3 linked regions of the Anolis sagrei genome follow. The protein of the gene in region 1 interacts with the protein of each later gene in a pairwise test. Links are inferred from orthologs where the notes say so. Each region holds a gene or a part of one and is shown in the gene's direction. Other genes may lie near its edges.

Region 1 (7,297 bases):
ATCTTGTGTTCCCAGAGCGCAGTCTGTTCAGTGCCTTCCAAGTCACCCAGTCTTCTGTGTGCCCAGGAGGGTGTTTCTCATTCGGTATCAGCCACTGATTGAAGTTCTGGGTTTCAGCCTGCCACTTTTGGACTCTCGCTTGCTGAGGTGTTCCTTCGAGCATCTCTGTAGATCTTAAGAAGCTGTTTCTTGATTTAAGACGTTAGCATGCTGGCTGATATCTGAACAGAGGATGGGCCGAAGCTGACAATGCCTTGGTCTTTTCATTACTGGTTGCTACTTCCTGGGGGATATCAGGTGGTGCAATACCAGCTAAACAGTATAATTTCTCCAGCGGTTTAGGAGACATCCTATGATAATGTGGCATATCTCATTAAGAGCCACATCCACTGTTTTAACACGGTGGAATGTATTCCACACTGGGCAGCAAAGTAGCAAAAGCAGATGTCTTCACTGTAACTGGTTGTGATCCCCAGGCTGTGTCAGTCAGCTTTTGTATGATATTATCTGTATCACACACTTTTTGCTTGATAATCAAGCGAGTGATTGTGAGTGGAAACTTGTGAGAAATCTGTGCAGCCTGCCAACTAGTGGTTATTTTAGGAATTTACATGAATCAAGGAGAAAAAAATAGAGTCGTGCCAACTTGAAGCTATAAGCCAGGCATGAAAAATGTTGGAAGTTGTCTTCCATGCTGCAGGATCAAATATTCTGCCAAGATTTCATATGTATCCATCTCATTGGTATGCAAATTGGCTTTTGCCTTTGACACAGAGTAAAAATGATATGCAATTGTTTGGAAAGAAATCTATGATTTATGATCAGTAAAGGTTTCATTTATATGTACCAGGCATGAGCAAACTTTGGCCCTCCTCCAAGTGTTTTGGACTTCACCTCCTACAGTTTTGAATTGTGTGAGTTGAAGTCCAAAACACCTGGAGGACTGAAGTTTGCCCATGCCTGCTCTATAAGCTAGCTAGCATTGCCCCCCCCCCCCCCCCGGATGTGCTATGGGAAGTTGTTGCCAACTATGAGAGAAATAAGGTTGAACACTGTGAAAGCCATCCACTGCATGGCTCTCAGCCTCCTCCCAGTAGGCTCAAATCAAGAAAAAGTTTCAGGAGAACCACTACTCGTCCTAATGTTCCTCCAGCAACAGGCTATTCCAGTTAGGTGGCCCCCCACGAGGGTCTTCCTCCAGGGGCAAACCAAGAATGGACAAGTCGGAAGTCCCTGAACAGACTCAGAAGTGGAGTGGGCAGATCAAAAGACAACATGGCTAAATGGCACAACCTAGAAGAATCCTCCACCTTGTGTGATTCGAGGAGCAGGACAAACAACTCAGCACCTATATGCAGGGGCGGCTCAACCCATTACGCAAAGTAAGCATTTGCAGTATAGTTGATTTTGCCCAGGGGAGCTCTTGAGGCGCTCTTGGGGGGGGGGGGGGGAATAGATCTTGACATATGCGAGTTGTAGTTACTGGGATGTATATTTATTTGTCGTGTCAGAACAACCAGTCAAATTATATAACATTTCTAACAGAACCAGTCAAATTATATTACATTTCTAACAGAACTGGGATGTATAGTTTACCTACAATCAAAGAGCATTCTGAACTCCATCGATGATGGAATTGAACCAAATATGGCACACAGAACTCCCACAACGAACAGAATATATATATATATATATATATATATATACCAGTGATTGGTTGGGGGGGGGGGGCACCAAAATACTGTTTGCTTACCGTTGAAAATTACCTAGGGTCGCCTCTGCCTATGTTAGTCCACAATGCCCTGCCTCATGCACAAAGGAAGAACTGTTTAAAACCACAGATAATGCAGTAGCTGTTGCCTGTTTTTGGTCTAAAATTATTTAGCCGTGTTGGAAATTACAACCTTCTTAAAACCTCCTCTAGTAAATTGATCATCTACAATCCTGTTGCTTCCTCATTGGATGTATGTTCTGCTATGCAGCTTTCTTTCTTTGCTCTATGTTTTTCCTGAGAAGTTGTGGGAGGGGCTGCAGACCACATGATCCACTCTGGGCCGAGCACAGACTTCTTTAGAGTTTTGGACTGCTCAGATTGCATACTTGCAAATGCTTGTGGATTATTATGAGAGGTGTTCTGACCGGATCGGACAGAAACTATCTCAAACATATCTGTAACTGACTGATAAATTGTGTATGCTGAACAAATGAAGGTTGTGATTAAACCAGATGTTATTATTATTATTTTTTTACCAAAGTCTACTTTAATGTGTCTCTAGTATGCATACTATAAAACAAGTTGTTTATGGGAGAGTAGACCCTTTGGAAGAACTGCTATTTTAATGCACCGGCATATTCTCTGTTTCCTATCAGATCAGAGACAAAGGTCACTCAGTCTAATAACTGAAGCCAATCACCTTGCATATTACCTTTGGTTGCATTCCATTTGAGAGGATTCTACTCAAATGAGTTTTTGGCTCTTTTCTAAAACAGTGTTTCTCAACCTGGGACCCCTGCAGAGGTTGCGAGGGGGTTTCAGAAGGGTCATCAGAGATCATAAGAAAACATATTTCTGATGGTCTTAGGAATCTTTGGCAGAGAAGGCTGAAGAACTCTCTGCCTGTTCTTCTCTTCCTTTTTGGAAACAGACAGCGAATTCACCCACCAAAAGCTGTGATTGGCCAGCCTCTCAGCCAAGGGGAGGGCTGTTCCTGGAGGACCATCATAGAATCAAAGAGTTGGAAGAGATCTCATGGGCCATCCAGTTCAACCCCCTGCCAAGAAGCAGGAATATTGCATTCAATTCACCCCCGACAGATGGCCATCCAGCCTCTGTTTAAAAGCTTCCAAAGAAGGCGCCTCCACCACCCTCCGGGGCAGAGAGTTCCACTGCTGAATGGCTCTCACAGTCAGGAAGTTCTTCCTCGTGTTCAGATGGAATCTCCTCTCTTGTAGTTTGAAGCCATTGTTCCGCGTCCTAGTCTCCAGGGAAGCAGAAAACAAGTTTGCTCCCTCCTCCCTGTGGCTTCCTCTCACATATTTATACATGGCTATCATATCTCCTCTCAGTCTTCTCTTCTTCAGGCTAAATATGCTCAGCTCCTTAAGCCTCTCCTCATGGGCTTGTTCTCCAGACGCTTGCTTCAGTGCTGGTGGTCTTTACTTCTTCTGCACGCTGACGTAACCCTTTCCTTACTTCTGATAAGAGACATTTTGGATATCAACTCCCTGATTTATTAATCATTGGCCATGTAACGAGGGCTTCTACATCAAAGGTAGTTAGAGAAGTACTAATTAGGAGCCACATCCACTGTTTTAGCATAGTGAGATGTGTTCCACACTGGGCATGCATACTCAGCAGCAGACTAGCACAGCGCAAGGGCAGATGTCTTCACTGTATCTGGTTGTGATCCCCAGGTTGTGCCAGTCAGCTTTCGTATGATATTGTTTTTGGCACCCACTTTTTGCTTGATGTTCAGGCAGTGCTTCTTGTAGGTAAGAGCACGATCCAGGGTGACTCCCAGGTATTTGGGTGCCCTATGCAGTCAGTGGTTCCCTTGATGTATGGCAGGAACACTTTTCCTGTGGGTGGATCTTCGTCTTTATTCTCGTGACTTGTTCTTGTTCTAGCAGCTCTACTTCAAACAAGGACATCTAATCACCTCTCAACAAAAGATTGCTCCAGGCACTGCCAGGCCATCAAAGGCTAATCAAGGTGGTCAGTTGAAACATTCACACTTAGCTCCAGCAAACAAGAGTTCTTTGTCTCTCCCTGGTCATGCCACAGATATATAAACCCATTTTCCTATTTCCAACAGACCTCACTACCTCTGAGGATGCTTGCCATAGATGCAGGCGAAACGTCAGGAGAGAATGCCTCTAGACCATGGCCATACAGCCCGAAAAAACCTACAACAACCCAATGATTCCGGCCATGAAAGCCTTCGATAATACTCTCTGCTTCATTCGGAAAATGCTGCACTCGCAGAGCTCAGGCGGTGTTGTATTGAGGTATAGAGCTAGGGCGGTGTAGACATTTCCCCTGGCGGAAAAGGGGCGGGGAAAGTTGGAAAGAGGCATATTTCCTCAGAAGCCACTCCGCCATGCCCCTTGAGGGACCCAGGCCCTCTTTTCCCGACGTCTGAGGGACTTCCCGAGCGAGCCTGAATCCCGAGCCAAACTTGGCCTCGGCTCCGGCGCGAGCTGCGACTGCGTGCGCGAGCGGCAGAGGGAGAGAGGGAGGGACCGTGGGCGGGGCTAGCGCGCCCCGGAGGGGGAGGGGCCATCGCCTGAGGAGAGAGAGGGAGCGAGAGAGAGGGAGAGAGGGGTGGGCGAGTCAGCTGGCGCGAGGCTTCCCAGGCGGAACCTTCCTTGAGGAGGGGCGCCAGACCAGACGGTTCCCTCCGTCTCCTTCCCCTTCGTTTCCCCAGGAAAGAGTTCCCGGAGAGGGCAGGCGCCCTTCCTTCCCCTCGCGCTGCCAAGTCCAGGCTGCGAGAAACTTAATCAGCTCAGGAGAGGGAGGTGCAGGCGGAAAGGGAGGCCACGAGGAGGAGGAGGAGCGGGAGCCGAGCGCGCCGCTCACTCCCTCAATCACTCTCTGACTGACTTTGCAGGTAAGTCACCCGTCGCGGAGGGGCTTGACAGGAAGCAGGAGGGGCGCGCGCGCGCAGGGCGTCGTGGCCCTTTCCCTCCTCGCGCGCAGTTCGCACGGGACGAACTTTGGGAGTTGTTTCTGCGGCTCGCGAGAGGACGCCAGGCGCGTGCCTTCTCGGGAGCAAAGAGAGAGAGTGTGTGTGTGTGCGCGCGCTCGGGGAAAGGGTGGTTCTCAACTTGCCCCCCTTCCTTTCCCTTCCCTTGCGCTTCGTGAGGGGCGTGCAAACTTCCCTTCCCGGCCGGAGCTTGGGTGCCCTCTCCACATTGCATCATAAACCAGGGTGGAGCCAGCCTTTTTCCTCCTCCTCCTCCTCTCTCCCTTCCTCCCCCTCCCCTCCCCCTCCGCCCCTGGCCTTAAGCAACGAGCTCTGAGGGGCTTGCCCGGCTCTGCCAATCAGGGGCGGCGGTGGCGGGCGCGCGCTCCCTTTCGCCTTTCTCCTGAAGGGAGGGAATGCGGCGCGCGCGCGTGTACTGAGGGGAGGTGAGGGGAGGGGGGAATCGAATGTGGGCACTTCCCCGGATTTAAGGAGGAAGGACGGAGCCAGGACTTCTGCACCCACCCGGTAATGCAATGCACGCCTCGTATAGCTGTTCTTTCAACTTTGTAAAGGCGATGCCAAGGTGGGTCTGCTTGGTCTCGCTCCCATTGTGCTGGTGGCGTCTTCCCCCAAAAGAGTGAGGAATGCTTTGCAAAACTTTCCAGCGTGCGGGGCTGGAAGAGCCAGGGCAAACTCTGAGGCAAGGCCTGGGCTGCTTTGATCACCCCCGAGGAGGATTGGCCACCTTCCCTCCAAGAGTGCAGGGAAAAAAGGAACCACTGGTTGCTTTGAGGGAGGAATCTTCTTCTTTCTGGTCCTGTGACAGCTGTTGATTCCTTCTGCCTTCGCTTTGGTGTCTGTGTCTCCTTCGAGCCCCTGTTTCTGAATTCTCCCACTTGTTACATGCTGATTTCTACTTGTTGCATCCTTTGGTCCTTCCACTTAAAGAGAGAGCAGCCCAGTCTCTTCTTTTCACTCTTTCTGTGTATTTTGCATACACTGCCTGAAGTGAAGATGACCAGTGCAGGTTAACATTTATTCCTGACTGAGAGCCGTTCATCTGTGGAACTCTCTGCCCAGGCATGTAGCCGGGCATGTAGCCGAAAATCTCATGGTGGTCCGCAAGAAGGCCTTACTGGTACATTATTTAAACCAGTGATTCTCAACCTTCTTAATGTCACGACCCCTTAATACAGTTCCACATGTTGTGGTGGCCCCCAAGCAAAAAATTATTGTTATTGCTACTTCATATCTGCAACTTTGCTACTGTTATTATGTAAATATCTGATATGCAGGATGTATTTTCATCACTGGATCAAATTTGAATACTGGTGGGGTTGGGGGGATTAATTTTGTCATTTGGGAGTTGTAGTTTATAGTTCACCTACAATCAAAGAGCATTCCGAACTCCACCAACGATGGAATTGAAGCAGACTTGGCACACAGAACTCCCATGACCAACAGAAAATACTGGAAGGGTTTGGTGGGCATTGACCTTGAGTTTGGGAGTTGTAGTTCACCTACATCCAGAGAGCACTGTGGACTCAAACAATGATGGATCTGGACCAAACTTGGCATGAATACTCAGTATGCCCAAATATGAACACTGGTGGAGTTTGGTGAAAATAGAGTTTGCCATTTGGGAGTTGTAGTTGCTGGGATTTATAGTTCACCTACAATCAGAGAATTATGAACTGCACCAATGATAGAATTGGGTGAAACTTCCCACACAGGACCCCCATGACTAACAGAAAATGTTGTGCTTTCTGATGGTCTTTGGCGACCCTTTTAAAACCCCCTCGTGACCCCTCCAGGGGTCCTGACCCCCAGGTTGAGAACCACTGATTTAAACTGTTATGTTATTCATATCATGATCTGATCACCATGCTCAATATATCCCATATGCATGGGGTTATTGGAGTAGCAATACAAAAGGTTTGCTAGGGTAGACCCTCTTTCACTCAGACTCAGCCCCCTGCCACGAATCAAACTCCCCCCCCCCCCCCCGAATCAAAATCCTGGCTACGGGCCTGTCTGGGGCAGAGGCAGTCCCGTAGCCAGGATTATGTTTCGGGGGGAGCTGAGCTTGATTCGGGGGGGGGGGGGGCGAGTCTGAGTGAAAGAGGGTCTACCCTAGCAAACCTTTTGTAAAGACCCTCTTTCACTCAGACTCAGTCCCCCCCCCCCCCCTTTGAATCAAACTCAGCTCCTGGCTACGGGCCTGTCTCTGCCCCAGGGAGGCCTGTAGCCAGGATTTTGATTCGGGGAGGGGGGGGGCTGAGTCTGAGTGAAAGAGGGTCTACCCTAGCAAACCTTTTGTATTGTAACACCAATACCCCCATATTGAGCATGGTGATCAGATCGTGATATGAATAAACATAACAGTTTAAATAATGCACCAGTAAGGCCTTCTCGAGGGCCACCATGAGAATTTGGGGGGGGGGGGCGGCTAAAGCCCCTCAAACACCCCCCCCCCCCGGCTACATGCCTTGGCCCCAGAGTGTGGTGGAGGCTCCTTCTTTGGAAGCTTTTAAACAGAGGCTGGATGGCCATCTGTCATAGAATCCTAGAGTTGGAAGAGACCTCATGGGCCATCCAGTCCAACCCCC
Region 2 (7,564 bases), on another chromosome or scaffold:
CCCCTGCCACGCGTTGCTGTGGCCCAGTCTGGTGATCTGGAAAATGAAGTAATTAGAAAGTGTTGGTTTCTAATATATGTAATGCCTTGATGCTTGTGGGTAAACAGCATTTCTTGCTGTGTCTTTGTCAGTGTTGATGTGGAGAGTATCTGGTTTGCCTACTTTGGAACATGCAACATATAATTGTCCATCTTAAGGGGTCCCTTTCAAATCTATGATACTATGATAATATATCATATTCATGATACTATATTTCAAATCTATGATACTATATCTCTCTGTGTGTGAATCATATATATCTATCTACATCTATGGCTGGATGGCTCTTTGTCAGGAGGCCTTTGATTACATTTTCTTGCCCTGGTGAAGGGAGTTGGAATGGCTGGCCATGGGGGTTTTGTGTGGGAAGTTTGCCCCAAGTCTGTTGTTGGTGGGGTTCAGAATGCTCTTTGATTGGAGGTGAACTATAAATCCCAGTAACTACATATCCCAAATGTCAAGGTCTATTTCTCCCAGACTCCATCTCTGTTCATATTTGGGCATATGGAATATTCGTGCTAAGTTTGGTCTGGATCCTTCATTGTTTGAGTCCACAGTGCTCTCTGGATGTAGGTGAACTACAACTCCCAAACCCAACGTCAATGCCCACCAAACCCTTCTAGTATTTTCTGTTGGTCAGGGGAGTCCTGTGTGCCACGTTTGGTTCAATCCCATGATTTGGTGGAGTTCAGAATGCTGTTTGATTGTAGGTGAACTATAAATCCCAAATGTCAAGGTCTATTTCCTCTGAATGCCATCTCTGTTCATATTAGGGCATATGGAATTTTCATGCCAAGTTTGGTCTGGATCCTTCATTGTTTGAGTCCACAGTGCTCTCTGGATGTAGGTGAACTACAACTCCCAAACGAATGTCAATGCCCACCAAACGCTTCTAGTATTTTCTGTTGGTCAGGGGAGTCCTGTGTGCCAAGTTTGGTAAAATTCCATGATTTGGTGGAGTTCAGAATGCCCTTTGATTGGAGGTGAACTATAAATCCGAACAACTACAACTCCCAAATGAGAAAATCAATTTTTTTTCGTGATGATCATTTCTTGGGTTAGTAGGTGTCTTGTGTCCAAATTTGGCGTCAATTCGTCCAGTGGTTTTTGAGTTCTGTTAATCCCACAAACGAACATTACATTTTTATGTATATAGATTTCTCTTTTTTTGGCTTTTATGTTATTGCTGTGTTGATTTACTGATGTATGTATTGTAGGGCTTGGCCTCATATAAGCCGCCCCAAATCCCTTTGGGGATAAAGTATTATTATTAATTATTATTAATTATTATTATTAATTAATAATAATTATTATTAATTATTATTATATACACACACATATACATAAAAAACAGCATAGTAATACCGAAGCACTTTTATACAGGCAGTTAGGTACCTTTCTTTTTTTTTGGAGTGGGAGAAAACTTCTCCAAGGAGTAGCCAGGCCCCGCGGATATGGAATTCGTGGATAAGGGGCTGCTAGGCTCCATTCCTTTGTGCTCCAGGAGAGAGAAATCCAGGCTCCGTCTCTTGCAAAAAGCAAAGCGGTGGCGGAGGCGTGCGTTTGTGCGTGCGCGCTCCCGAAACGCAAGCAAAGGAGAAAAATAAAAGGGGAGGGGGGTGTTGTGTTTCCTATCATATGTGTTTAAGATGTAATAGAAACAAACAGAGATAATTGTATGTAATAGAAATGTTATCAGATTGCAAAGAAGTTAAGAGAAACAAATGAATGATGAAGTTATTATAGAAGTTAAGAATAATAGACGCTTCCGATTTAGTCGAGATTTAGTCTTCCCTGTTAGGATGCAAAGCCCTTGCTTTCCAACCCCAATAATGTTTGGATGCACCTTACTGATTGTTATCCTCCTGGGTGTTTATTTCGTGTTGTAATTAAGGGAGAGGACTGCAAAGAGAGAAAGGTTCCTCGCTTTGGCACCTTCAGGGTCTTGAGTACCCCTCTCAGTCTCCATCATGGCATTGCAAAACCCCCAAATGCCCAAAGACTTGGGAGAAAGTCTCCTTCAAAGTGTGGAGTACCCCTCTCAGTCTCCATCATGGCATTGGAACCCCACCCCCCAATGCCCAAAGAATTGGGAGAAAGGCTCCTATCTTGGCACCTTCAGAGTCTGGAGCACCCCTCTCAGTCTCCATCACGGCATTGCAAAACCCCCAAATGCCCAAAGACTTGGGAAAAAAGCACCTTCAAAGTGTGGAGCACCCCTCTCAGTCTCCATCATGGTATTGGACCCCCCCCCATGCCCAAAGAATTGGGAGAAAGGCTCCTTTCTTGGCACCTTCAGGGTCTTGAGTACCCCTCTCAGTCACCATCATGGCATTGCAAAACCCCCAAATGCCCAAAGACTTGGGAGAAAGTCTCCTTCAAAGTGTGGAGTACCCCTCTCAGTCTCCATCATGGCATTGGAACCCCACCCCCCAATGCCCAAAGAATTGGGAGAAAGGCTCCTATCTTGGCACCTTCAGGGTCCTGAGTACCTCTCTCAGTCACCATCATGGAATTGGAACCCCCCCCCCCCCCCCAATGCCCAAAGAATTGGGAGAAAGGCTCCTATCTTGGCACCTTCAGAGTCTGGAGCACCCCTCTCAGTCTCCATCACGGCATTGCAAAACCCCCAAATGCCCAAAGACTTGGGAAAAAAGCACCTTCAAAGTGTGGAGCACCCCTCTCAGTCTCCATCATGGTATTGGACCCCCCCCCCCCATGCCCAAAGAATTGGGAGAAAGGCTCCTATCTTGGCACCTTCAGGGTCTTGAGTACCTCTCTCAGTCACCATCATGGCATTGCAAGACCCCCAAATGCCCAAATACTTGGGAGAAAGTCTCCTTTCTTGGCACCTTCAGGGTCTTGAGTACCCCTCTCAGTCACCATCATGGCATTGCAAGACCCCAAATGCTCAAAGACTTGGGGGAAAGCCTCCTTTCTTGGCACCTTCAGAGTCTGGAGCACCCCTCTCAGTCTCCATCATGGCACTGCAAGACTCCCCAAATGCCCAAGGAATCGGGAGAAATCCTCCTTTCTTGGCACCTTCAAAGTCTTGAGTACCCCTCTCAGTCACCATCATGGCATTGCAACCCCTCAAATGCCTGAAGACTTGGGGAAAACCCCTCCTTTCTGGCACCTTCAGAGTCTGGAGCCCCCCTCTCAGTCACCATCATGGCATTGCAACCCCTCAAATGCTCAAAGAATTGGGAGAAAGGCTCCTTTCTTGTCACCTTCAGGGTCTTGAGTACCCCTCTCAGTCACCACCATGGCATTGCAACCCCCAAATGGCCAAAGACTGGAGAAAGGCTCCTTTCTGGCACCTTCAGAGTCTGGAGCACCCTTCTCAGTCACCACCATGGCATTGCAACCCCCAAATGCCCAAAGACTGGAGAAAGGCTCCTTTCTGGCACCTTCAGAGTCTGGAGCACCCTTCTCAGTCACCATCATGGCATTGTAAACCCCCAATGCCCAAAGACTTGGGAGAAAGTCTCCCTTCTTGGCACCTTCAAAGTGTGGAGCACCCCTCTCAGTCACCATCATGGCATTGCAACCCCTCAAATGCCTGAAGACTTGGGAAAAACCCTCCTTTCTGGCTCCTTCAGAGTCTGGAGCACCCTTCTCAGTCACCATCATGGCATTGCAACCCCCCCAAATGTCCAAAGATTTGGGGAAAAGCCTCTTTTCCGTCACATTCAGAGTTTGGAGCACCCCTCTCAGTCTCCCTCATGGCATAGCAAGATCCCAAATGCCCAAAGACTTGGGAGAAAGCCTCCTTTCTTGGCACCTTCAGAGTCTGTAGCACCCCTCTCAGTCTCCCATCATGGCATTGCAAACCCCCCCCCCCCCAAATGCCCAAAGACTTGGGAGAAAGGCTCCCTTCTTGGCACCTTCAGAGTCTGGAGCACTCCTCTCAGTCCCCATCATGGCATTACAAGACCCCCAAATGCCCAAAGACTTGGGAGAAACCCTCCTTTCTTGGCACCTTCAGAGTCTGGAGCACCCTTCTCAGTCTCCATCATGGCACTGCAACCCCCCCCCCCCCCAAAATGCCCAAAGACTTGGGAGAAAGGCTCCTTTCTTGGCACCCTCAGCGTTTGGAGCACCCTTCTCAGTCTCCATCATGGCATTGCAAGACCCCCAAATCCCCAAAGACTTGGGAGAAAGCCTCCTTTCTTGTCACCTTCAAAGTCTTAAGCACCCTTCTCAGTCACTACTATAAGCATTGCAAAACTCTCAATATCCAGATTTGGGCGTTTTCCTTTGGAGAGGGAGAGAGGGGTCTCTATTTTTGCGCATTTGGAGAGGCGGTCGGGGAGGGGGGGTGCACCCACTTTGGAGGCCTGCAACCCCAAAGCGGGGGGGGGGGGGGGAGGAAGGGGAAAGCCTGGGCTACGGCTGGGAGTCAGGAGAGGAGGAAGGAGAAAGAGGAGGAGAGGAGGAAGAGGAGGAGGCGGCGCCGTGGAAAAAGCCAGCCTCCGCAGTCGAGAGGAGGAGGAAGAGGAGGAGGAGGAGGAAGAGAGGAAGGCGGAGGTTGTTGCTGCTACTGCTGCGGAGGGCGACTCTCCGGCCTGGTAGGCCCCCTCCTCTGGTAAAGAGAGAGAGAGAAGGAAGGAGGGAGGGAGGAAAAGCAAGCAAGCAAGGGAGAACAGTGCTGCTTGGCTTTGTTTCCTTCCTTCCTTCCTTGCTTTGGTTTTGCTGCTCCCCAGGATTTGACCTTCAGCAGCCAAACGCCGGATCCTCCTCCTCCTCCCACCATTCATTCCTCTGCTTCTTTGGGAAGAGAAGGCGAAGAAGGGAAGGAAAGAGAGACACAGAGAGAAAGAGAGAAAGAGAAACCCAGCTTCGGAATCCGCCTCCGGGATCTCCCTCGAGCCTCGCCTGGCGTTGTTTGCAAAGGCGCCTTTCCGAAGGGAAGGGAGGCGTTTGGAGAAGGGACTCCCTCCCTATTTATTTGCCTCTTTTTTTTTCTTTCCAGAGGGAGGTGCCCCTTCCTTTGGTCCCCCCCCCCCCTTCCTTTCCCTCCTTTTTCCTATTTGGGAAGGAGCCTGGGAAAAAAGGAGGGGGAAAGAGAGAGAGACAGAGAAAGAGAGAAAGCCAAGCCTTTGGCGCGCCGCGTCTCCTCCCTCCATTCATCGCCATTCCGCATTTAGGATCCGCATTTGGCAAAAACAGGCCGAGGAAAGATGGGGAAGGGGCTTCGGACCCTTTGAAGGACGCCTCCTCCATTCTTGGGGGGCAAAAAGAAGAGAGAAAGGCGTCTGAAAGAGGGGGAAACGCGCCAGAAAGGAAACCTCTCCAAAACAACAACAAGATCCGCCTTGCCTTCCTTCCTTCCTTCTTTCCTTCCTTCCACTCCCATTGGATTGAATTTGTCCCCCCCTCCAAGGAAAGCGACCCCCCCAGTCGTTCCTCTATTTTTCCTCCTTTTAGAGCTTTTTGGTGGGACGAAAAAATACAAAAGGAAGAGAGAAAGGAGTCAGGAAGAAGGACCAGAAAGGAACCTCTCCAAAAACAACAACAACCTTCCTTCTTTCCTTCCATTGGAAGAAATACTGGATTGAATTTGTCCCCCCGCCCTTCCAAGGAAAGCGACCCCCCAGTCGTTCCTCTATTTCTCCTCCTTTTAGAGCTTTTTGGTGGGACGAAAAAATACAAAGGGAAGAGAGAGAGAAAGGAGTCAGGAAGAAGGACCAGAAAGGAACCTCTCCAAAAACAACAACAACCTTCCTTCTTTCTTTCTTTCCTTCCATTGGAAGAAATATTGGATTGAGTCATTTTTTTTTCTCCAAAGGAAAGCACCCCCTCATCGTTCCCCTGCGTTTCCTCTTTGGGGTTTTGGGGATTTTTTTCCATTTTTGCATTTTGGGGGTTTTTTCCAAAGGAGATTGAGAAGGAGAAGTCGTGCGTAAAAGCAAGGAGGCCTTTTGCATTGCGCACAGGAGGCTTGGAGAGAGAGGAAGGAGGCAAAGAAGGGATCCGTGTTGGTGTTTTCCTGATTGTTTATTTGTTTGTTTATTTGTTTGTGGGGGTAGGGCGGAGAAGGCAAGCCCGGCAGGAAGAAGGAGAAGGAGGAGGAGGAGAAGAAAAAAGATGGAGGTCGAAGATGCGGACTGTTTGCTCCAACGTGTGACATGTTTGCTGCTCCTGGATGACTGCAGGCGAGGCTGAGGCGCACGCCGGGATCTTCCCTCCTCGAAGAGAAAAAAGGGGCCAAAGACCCCTTTTTGGCCTCTCCAAAAGACCCCCCATCCCTGCCTTTCCTTCCTCCCTCCATTCCCTTCCTTCTTCCCCTGGCAGAGGCCTCCCCAAAGGAAAGAGAAAGAACCAAACCAGGGAAACATCCAAGGACTCCCAAACGCTTCTCTCTCTCTGTATTCTTGTCCTCCTTTCTCCAAAAGGAGCCTTTTGGAGAGAAAATCCTTCTTTTTTGGGGGAACAAGGTTGGGGAAGAAGAGTTCCACCGCTTCTCTGGAAACCCTGTACAGATTGATTAGTATTGTTGTTAGATTCTTCTGTTTTTGTGGACTTCCCAAAGGCCAGTTTTGCTCCCAACCCAGAAGGACAAAAAGAGAGGAATGAAGCCTGGCGCTGGAGGAGGGTCCCTGACCTTATATGGGGGGCTTTTGCTGATCTTGACCACGTTTTGCTTCGGGACAGCAAATGGAAAAAGTGAGTGTTTCATAGACATACCTATATATTTATGTGTGTGTGTCTGTTAAGGGGGGGGGTAGTTTATTTTTAATTCCATCTCCTCTACCAGGAGTTGGGATTGATGAAAGGACAGGCGGCTATATTTATTGGGTTTATTGGGTTGCTGTGAGTTTTCCGGGATTTACCCGGAAAACACACACACACACATGCTAAAAATAAACAACACACACACACACACACATGTTTTCCGGGCATTTACCCAGAAAACACACACACACATGTGTTTATTTTTAGCTCATATTGTCTCCTCCATCAGTTGGAAGGACAAGCTGCTATACCAGGCATGGGCCAACTTGGGCCCTCCCTTCCAGGTGTTTTGGACTTCACTTCCCATAATGTGTGTATGCAGATGATCCCTTGATTGACTGTAGTGTCCATTGCCAAGAGGATGAAGGCATGGGCCAACTTGGGCCCTCCCTTCCAGGTGTTTTGGACTTCACTTCCCATAATGTGTGTATTCAGATGATCCCTTGATTGAATGTAGTGTCCATTGCCAAGAGGACGAAGGCATGGGCCAACTTGGGCCCTCCCTTCCAGGTGTTTTGGTCTTCAGTTCCCATAATGTGTGTATGCAGATGATCCCTTGATTGACTGGTGTCCATTGCCAAGAGGATGAAGGCATGGGCCAACTTGGGCCCTCCCTTCCAGGTGTTTTGGACTTCACTGCCCATAATGTGTGTATTCAGATGATCCCTTGATTGACTGAAGTGTCCATTGCCAAGAGGATGAAGGCATGGGCCAACTTGGGTCCTCCCTTCCAGGTCTTTTGGACTTGGCATGGGCTAACTTGGTCCCTCCCTTCCAGGTGTTTTGG
Region 3 (7,568 bases), about 59 Mb from region 1:
GTTGCTAGGAGTTCCCTTCTCTCCCGAGGAAAACACCTCGGCCATAAACCAGGTGGGGCCGATAAACATATTTCACGTTTCATTTATAGTCGTGTTGCATCTTCCAAGTTTTATTTATAGTCTCCATGTTTCCCCGGCCTGTCTCAGCCTCTGAGGACAACAGTCCCGTCTCCAGGTGAGGCCGAGGAGACTTTGCCCTCAGGCCATGGAAGATGAAATCTTGGAATCCTTCTTCCAGCGTGGAAGGGTTCTGGTCTTGCCTCTTCTTCAGAACTTTCTATTAAGCATGGGCAAACTTGGGTCCTCCAGGCGTTTTGGACTTCAACTCCCACAATTCCTAACAGCCGATAGGCTGTTAGGAATTGTGGGAGTTGAAGTCCAAAACACCTGGAAGGAAGGCTGAAGTTGGCCCACACCTGTACTTGAATGTTTCCTCTAGGAAACACCATCCCTGGCTCCAAGGTCCAATGCTTCTCATTGCCATCTCCTTATGTAGTGGTTATTAAAATAGTGCCATAGGTAGGTTGTTGTTGTTGTTCATTCGTTCAGTCGTTTCCGACTCTTCGTGACCTCATGGACCAGCCCATGCCAGAGCTCCCTGTCGGCCGTCACCACCCCCAGCTCCTTCAAGGTCAGTCCAGTCACTTCAAGGATGTCATCCATCCATCTTGCCCTTGGTCGGCCCCTCTTCCTTTAGCCTTCCACTTTCCCCAGCATCATTGTCTTCTCTAGGCTTTGCTGTCTCCTCATGATGTGCCCAAAGGACATCAACTTTGTCTCTAGTCTCCTTCCTTCCAGTGAGCAGCCGGGCTTTATTTCCTGGAGGATGGACTGGTTGGATCTTCTCGCAGTCCAAGGCACTCTCAGAACCTAGGTACAAATCCCAAATTTCAGGCCTTCTACTTCTAGTTGTAGTAAACGTTAATTTGGGTTGCCCTGACTTTTCTGGGCTGTATGGCCATGTTCCAGTAGCATTATCTCCTGATGTTCCACCTGCATTTTTGACAAGCATCCTCAGAAGTTTGTTCAGAGCTCTGTTGGAAGGGAGGCAAGTGGAGTGTATATACTATACCTGTGGAATAATGTCCAGGGTAAATCTGAGATAATATTGGAGTAAACCTGTGGTAACATTGAAGTAAATCTAAGGTAATACTGGAGTAAACAGGAGGTAATATGGGAGTAAGCCTGAGGTAATACTGAAGTACATCTGAGGTAATGTGGGGGTAAATTTGAGGTAATGTATGGAGTAAATATGAGGCAATATTGCAGTTATCCTGAGGTAATATGGGAGTAAACGGGAGGTAATATGGGAGTAAACCTGAGGTAATACTGAATTTGAGGTAATGTGGGGGTAAATTTGAGGTAATGTATGGAGTAAATATGAGGCAATATTGCAGTAAACCTGAGGTAATATTGGAGTAAACCGGAGGTAATATGGGAGTAACCTGAGGTAATACTGAAGTAAATCTGAGGTAATGTGGGGGTAAATTTGAGGTAATGTATGGAGTAAATATGAGGCAATATTGCAGTAAACCTGAGGTAATATTGGAGTAACCCGGAGCTAATATGGGAGTAAACCTGAGGTAATACTGAAGTAAATCTGAGGTAATGTGGGGGTAAATTTGAGATAATGTATGGAGTAAATATGAGGCAATACTGCAGTAAACCTGAGGTAATATTGGAGTAAACAGGAGCTAATATGGGAGTAAATCTGAGGTAATACTGAAGTAAATCTGAGGTAATGTGGGGGTAAATTTGAGGTAAAGTATGGAGTAAATATGAGGCAATATTGCAGTAAACCTGAGGTAATATTGGAGTAAACTGGAGCTAATATGGGAGTAAACCTGAGGTAATACCGAAGTAAATCTGAGGTAATATGGGGGTAAATTTGAGGTAAAGTATGGAGTAAATATGAGGCAATATTGCAGTAAATCTGAGGAAATATTGGAGTAAACAGGAGCTAATATGGGAGTAAACCTGAGGTAATACTGAAGTAAATCTGAGGTAATGTGGGGGTAAATTTGAGGTAATGTATGGATTAAATATGAGGCAATATTGTAGTAAACTTGAGGTAATATTGGAGTAAACTGGAGCTAATATGGGAGTAAACCTGAGGTAATGCTGAAGTAAATTTGAGATAATGCTCGGTGAGAGTATGATAGCTGGGTCTGGAAGCGCCAAGCGTTACGCCCATTCCGCAACAGTGGTTCTGAATAAGGGAAGGGGAGAATGGGACACTGAGGGCGGGAATATACTTCGTAGTTGCATTTGGTGAAAGGATAGAAAGGTTTAGTAAGGTTAGGGTTAGGGGTGAGACTTAGGGTTAGGGTATGGTTAGGGTTAGAATTTGGATTAGGATTACGGTTTGGATTAGGATTAAGGTTAAGGTTTAAGTTTATGGTTATGATTAGTTAGGGTAAGGTTTAGGGTTGGAATTAGGGTTTGGGTTAGGATTAGGGTTAAGGTTTAGGGTAAGGTTTACGATTAGGGTAAGGTTTAGGGTTTGGTTTAGGATTACAGTTAGGGTTAGGGTAAGGTTTAGGGTTTGGTTTAGGATTACAGTTAGGTTCAGGGTTAGGGTTTGGCTTGGGGTAAGGTTTTAGGTTTGGGTTAGAATCAGGGTTAGGATTACGGTTAGGATTAGGGTTAAGGGTTAGTCTTAGGCGTAGGGTAAGGTTTAGGGCTTGGGTTAGAATTAGGGTTAGATTTCAGGTTTGGGTTAGAATTAGAGTTAGGATTAGGGTTTGGGTTAGGGTAAGGTTTAGGGTTGGATTAGGATTAGGGTTAGGGTAGGGTTTATGGTTAGGGTAAGGTTTGGGGTTTGGGTTAGAATTAGGGTTTGGTTTAGGATTACAGTTAGGTTAGAATTAGGATTAGGGTTAAGAGTTAGGAATAGGGTTAAGGGATAGGGTTCAGGTTAAGGGATTAGGGTTAGGGTTTTATCATTAAAGAACTCTGACATTCCTTCTGCAATGCCTGTGTTCCTTTCTGTGTTGTGCAAACAGGGCTCCCAAAGTAGCGAAGTGGAAAGAGCGTAAGGCTCAGAGCTGCTTCCGGACCCACCTCTCATGCCTAATGCTCGAGTAAATATGAGGTATTGTCGAAGAGTTTCATGGCTGGAATCACTGGGTTGTGATTAGGGTGAAACATTCACACCTAGCTCCAGCAGACAAGAGTCCTTTGTCCCACCCTGGTCTTTCCACAGATATATAAACCCATTTTCCTGGTTCCAGTTGCTTCTCTAATCACCTCTCAACAAAAGATTTCCCCAGGCACTGCCAGGCCATCAAATGCTAATCAAGGTGGTCAGTTGAAACATTCCCACCTAGCTCCAGCAGACAAGAGTCCTTTGTCCCACCCTGGTCATTCCACAGATATATAAACCCATTTTTCCTACTTCCAACAGACCTCACTACCTCTGAGGATGCTTGCCATAGATGCAGGCGAAACGTCAGGAGAGAATGCCTCTGGAACATGGCCTGACATCCTGAAAAACCTACAACAACTCAAATATGAGGTAATATTGAAGTAAACCCGAAGTAATATTGAAGCGAACCTGAGGTAATATTGGAGTAAAGCTGAGGTAATTTTTGGATGAAGGAAAACAGGTAATTAATGGAGTAAACGTGCTGCAACTTTGAGAGGAACTATGGTCTATTATTCCGATGCAATCCGACCTTTAGTACAAATATTTCGTGCCCACGTCCCCTTTTGCTGACGTCATTTTGCGACTCGATGGCGGAGAGGTGGTGATGACGTCACGGGCTAGGCCCAGGCGGGGATCACGTGACGAGGGCGAGGGCCGACCAATCCCCTTCGGCATTTCTCTCCGGGAGCGCGCCTCTAGCGGCGAGAGCGCGCCAAAGCAGGCAGGCAAGGTCACGTGGACACCGCTCCTCCGATCTCGTACAAATGCCCTTGCGCCGCTTTGCGCACGCGCGGATGAGAGCGGCGAGACGATTATACCAAGTACAAACCGTTCTGGGCATGCGTACATTTAAACTCCCTTAACCTAGTTCGCGCATGCGTGCAAGAAAACCCCTTAGAGCGGCTTTTCCTAGTTTGCGCATGCGTGCAGGAAAACACCTGAGAGGCTTTTCCTAGTTTGCGCATGCGTGCAAGAAAAACCCCTTAGACCTTTCCTAGTTTGCGCATGCGTGCAAGAAAAACCTCAGAGAGGCTTTTCCTAGGTTGCGCATGCGTGCAAGAAAACACCTGAGAGGCTTTTCTTAGTTTGCGCATGCGTGCAAGAAAACCCCTTAGAGAGGCTTTTCCTAGTTTGCGCATGCGTGCAAGAAAACCCCTTAGAGAGGCTTTTCCTAGTTTGCGCATGCGTGCAAGAAAACCCCTGAGAGAGGCTTTTCCTAGGTTGCGCATGCGTGCAAGAAAACCCCCTTGGAGAGGCTTTTCCTAGGTTGCGCATGCGTACACAGAAAAAGCGAGTTCGAATCTTCTGCGGCTGCGCAGTACCACCCTTTCCATTCTTTCCCCTTCAAGCCCCGCCCCACTCGTCTTGTTCCCCCTGGTCTGCGCATGCGCGCTAGGCTCAGTCGCGTCACGTGACGAGAAGGAGGAGGGCGGCCATTTTGGTTACAAACACAAACAAGCGGCGAGAGGAGGACGGAGCTCCCCGCGAGAGAGAGAGAGAGAAGGAGAGAGAGAGAGAGAGACGCGGATCCGCGCCGAGGCCACGCCTCCTCCTCCTCTTCCCCCCTCCCTCCCCCAGCAAAAGGTAAGCCACGCCCCCTCCCGTTGCCATGGAAGCCCCCCTCCCGCCGTGCCCGCTCCCTCGGGGCCACGCCCACCCGCTCCGTCGCCTAGGAGACCCCTCCCCCCGCCCTCCTCGGCTCCCTCGCCGGCCCCGCCCCCTCGCGTTAGGGCAGGCGGCGCTGCGGCGGCGGAAGTCCCGCCTCCCCACTTCCGCTTCCCGCCCCTCCTTTCTCTGGGTCTGAGGAGACCCCGCTCCTCGCCCCTTCCCTCCTCGCCCGGGGCCAGTGGCCGTGCGGGTGGGCTTCGGCTCTGGTAAGGAGGCCTCGCCAGGCCGCGCGCATGGGCTGGACTCGATAGGCCGGGCTTGGGCCAGCTTCCTCCCTCCAGCTCTTTGGGACTCCAACTCCCACAATTCGGGACAGGCTCAGGCCTTTTCCTCTCCCTCCTCAGCACCCTCAGGCCTTTTTATTTTCCTCCTCAGCAGCCTCAGGCCCTTTCCTTTTCCTCAGCTCTTTTCCTTTTCCTCCTCAGGAGCTTCAGGATTTTTCCTTTTCCCTCTCAGCAGCCTCAATCCTTTTACTTTTCAGCAGCCTCAGGTTCTTTCCTTTTCCTCCTCAGCAGCCTCAGGCCCTTTCCTTTTTTCTTTTTTTTTTACCTCAGCAGCCTCAGGCACTTTCCTTTTCCTCTACAGCAGCCTCAGGCCTTTTGCTTTTCATCAGCAGCCACAAACCCTTTCCATTTTCTCCTCAGCAGCCCCAGGGCCCTGCCTTTTCCTCAGCCTCAGGCCCTTTTAATTTCCTCTTCAGCAGCCTCGGGCCTTTTCCTTCTCAGCAGCCTCAGGCCTTTTCAATTTCCTTCTTAGCAGCCTCAGGTCTTTCCCATTTCCTCCTCAGCAGCCTCATTCCATTTCCTCCTCAGCAGCCTCAGACCTTTTCCATTTCCTCCTCAGCAGCCTCAGGCCCTTTCCTTTCCCCCCTCAGCAGCCTCAAGCCCTTTCCTCTTCCTCCTCAGGAGCCTCAGGCCTTTTCCTCATCCCATTTCCTTTCCCCCCTCAGCAACCTCAGGCCTTTTCCTTCTCAGCAGCCTCAGGTCCTTTCCTTTTTCTCCTCAGGAGCCTCGGGACTTTTCCTTTGCCTTCTCGGCAGCCTCGGGCCCTTCCCTTTTCCTCAGCCTCAGCCTCTTTCCTTTTCCCTCTCAGCAGCCTCAGGCCCTTTCCTTTTCCTCTACAGCAGCCTAAGGCCTTTTACTTTTCATCAGCAGCCACAGGCCCTTTCCATTTCCTCCTCAGCAGTCTCAGGGCCCTGCCTTTTCCTCAACCTCAGGCCTTTTCCTCAGCCTCAGTCTCTTTCCTTTTCCTCCTCAGCAGCCTCATATCTTTTACTTTTCCTCCTCAGTAGCCTCACGGCCTTTCCTTTTCCTCCTCAGGAACCTCAGGCCTTTTACTTTTCAGCAGACTCAGGCCCTTTCCATTTTTTACCTCAACAGCCTCAGGTCCTTTCCTTTTCCCTCTCAGCAGCCTTGGGCCTTTTACTTTTCATCAGCAGCCACAGGCCCTTTCCATTTCCTCCTCAGGGCCCTGCCTTTTCCTCAGCCTCAGGCCATTTCCTTTTCCTCCTCAGCAGCCTCAGGCCTTTTCCTTTTGCGCAGCCTCGGGCCCTTTCCCCCCTCAGCAGCCTCAGGCCCTTTCCTTTTCCTCCTCAGCCTCATTCCACATTACAAGGCCTGAGTTGGAAGAGACTCTAAGCCAGGCCTGGGCAAACTTGCACCCTCCAGGTGTTTTGGACTTCCATAAGTGGCTGAGTGGGAAAAGGATGGGGCCTGAGGCTGTTAGGAATTGTGGGAGTTGGGAGTCCAAAAGACCTGGAGGGAGAAACTTTGCCCGAGCTGCTCTGTGGTCTGATTCCACCTCCACATTCGGAAGAACCTCCTGGCAGTTGAAGTTCTGCAGAATCTCTTTCTCTGGAGGGTTTTAAGCATAGGCTGCATGGCCATCTGTCGGGAGGGCTCGGGCGGTGTAGGGATCTCTCCCAGTTCTCGGATCCTGCCCTTCTTGCTTACACCCATTGCAATTCCCTGGACAGCTGGCCCCAGTTAAGATCCAAGAATCTTGTTCTCAAGCACTTTACAATGTTTATCCAAATCCTTGATGATAAATCGCTCTTATCCTCATTGCTGCTATATGATATTTGCACTTTACCCATTAGTTCTATCATTAGCTCTTTCCTTTAATGTTGTGGCACCATCCATGACAAGACATTGAACTTTGCTTTTGGTTGTTTGGTTTTGATGTTTGTTTTATATACCGCTTAATGTTGTTGTTGTTTTGTTGACATGCATTTTAATGTGTTATGTTTTAACTGTTTTGTTGGGCTTGGCCCCATGTAAGTTCCCCCTAGTCCATTTGGGGAGATTGAGGCAGGGTATAAAAATAAAGTTATTATTATGGCACAGTGAGAGTGCTTGTCGAAATACATTTTAATAATATATATAATATAATAAAATAACTTTATATCCCGTCCTATGTCCCTGAAGGGACTCAGGGCCTTTATGTACCTGTACTGTTTCTGCAATGTTGATGTGTTTTCATTTATTTTGAATCCCGCCTTGAGACATGAGGAGAGGTGGGTAATAAATAAAATAATAATAATAATTAGTAGTAGTGTTACTACGTTCCACCGGTGTCCCTTGTTCTGGGTGCATCTACACCAGACTTGCACAGTCTTTGGTCCTCCAGGTGTTTGGACCTCCAATAATAATAATAATAATAATATATCTGTAGCCCGCCCTATCTCCCCAAGGGGACTCAGGCGGCTTCCAGCATAATAAAGGCAAATATTCAATGTTGGTATAAAACAGAA

Evidence for each region.
Region 2: the proteins of GRB10 (region 1) and IGF1R interact in a two-hybrid assay, tested with the Homo sapiens proteins (4 studies listed by BioGRID and IntAct). The link is inferred for Anolis sagrei from reciprocal best matches to the Homo sapiens genes GRB10 and IGF1R.
Region 3: the proteins of GRB10 (region 1) and GIGYF1 interact in a two-hybrid assay, tested with the Homo sapiens proteins (2 studies listed by BioGRID). The link is inferred for Anolis sagrei from reciprocal best matches to the Homo sapiens genes GRB10 and GIGYF1.

Annotation. Positions count from the first base shown.
Region 1 is NC_090026.1:61,950,797-61,958,093, forward strand, and holds the start of GRB10 (growth factor receptor-bound protein 10), read left to right. Parts: upstream 1-4,286; 5' UTR 4,287-4,610; intron 4,611-5,160; exon of another isoform or gene 5,161-5,271; intron 5,272-7,297.
Region 2 is NC_090029.1:14,282,368-14,289,931, forward strand, and holds the start of IGF1R (insulin-like growth factor 1 receptor), read left to right. Parts: upstream 1-4,560; 5' UTR 4,561-6,614; coding exon 6,615-6,708; intron 6,709-7,564. UniProt on the Homo sapiens protein: Receptor tyrosine kinase which mediates actions of insulin-like growth factor 1 (IGF1). Binds IGF1 with high affinity and IGF2 and insulin (INS) with a lower affinity. The activated IGF1R is involved in cell growth and survival control.
Region 3 is NC_090026.1:2,531,326-2,538,893, forward strand, and holds the start of GIGYF1 (GRB10-interacting GYF protein 1), read left to right. Parts: upstream 1-4,564; 5' UTR 4,565-4,732; intron 4,733-4,935; exon of another isoform or gene 4,936-5,022; intron 5,023-7,568. UniProt on the Homo sapiens protein: May act cooperatively with GRB10 to regulate tyrosine kinase receptor signaling. May increase IGF1 receptor phosphorylation under IGF1 stimulation as well as phosphorylation of IRS1 and SHC1.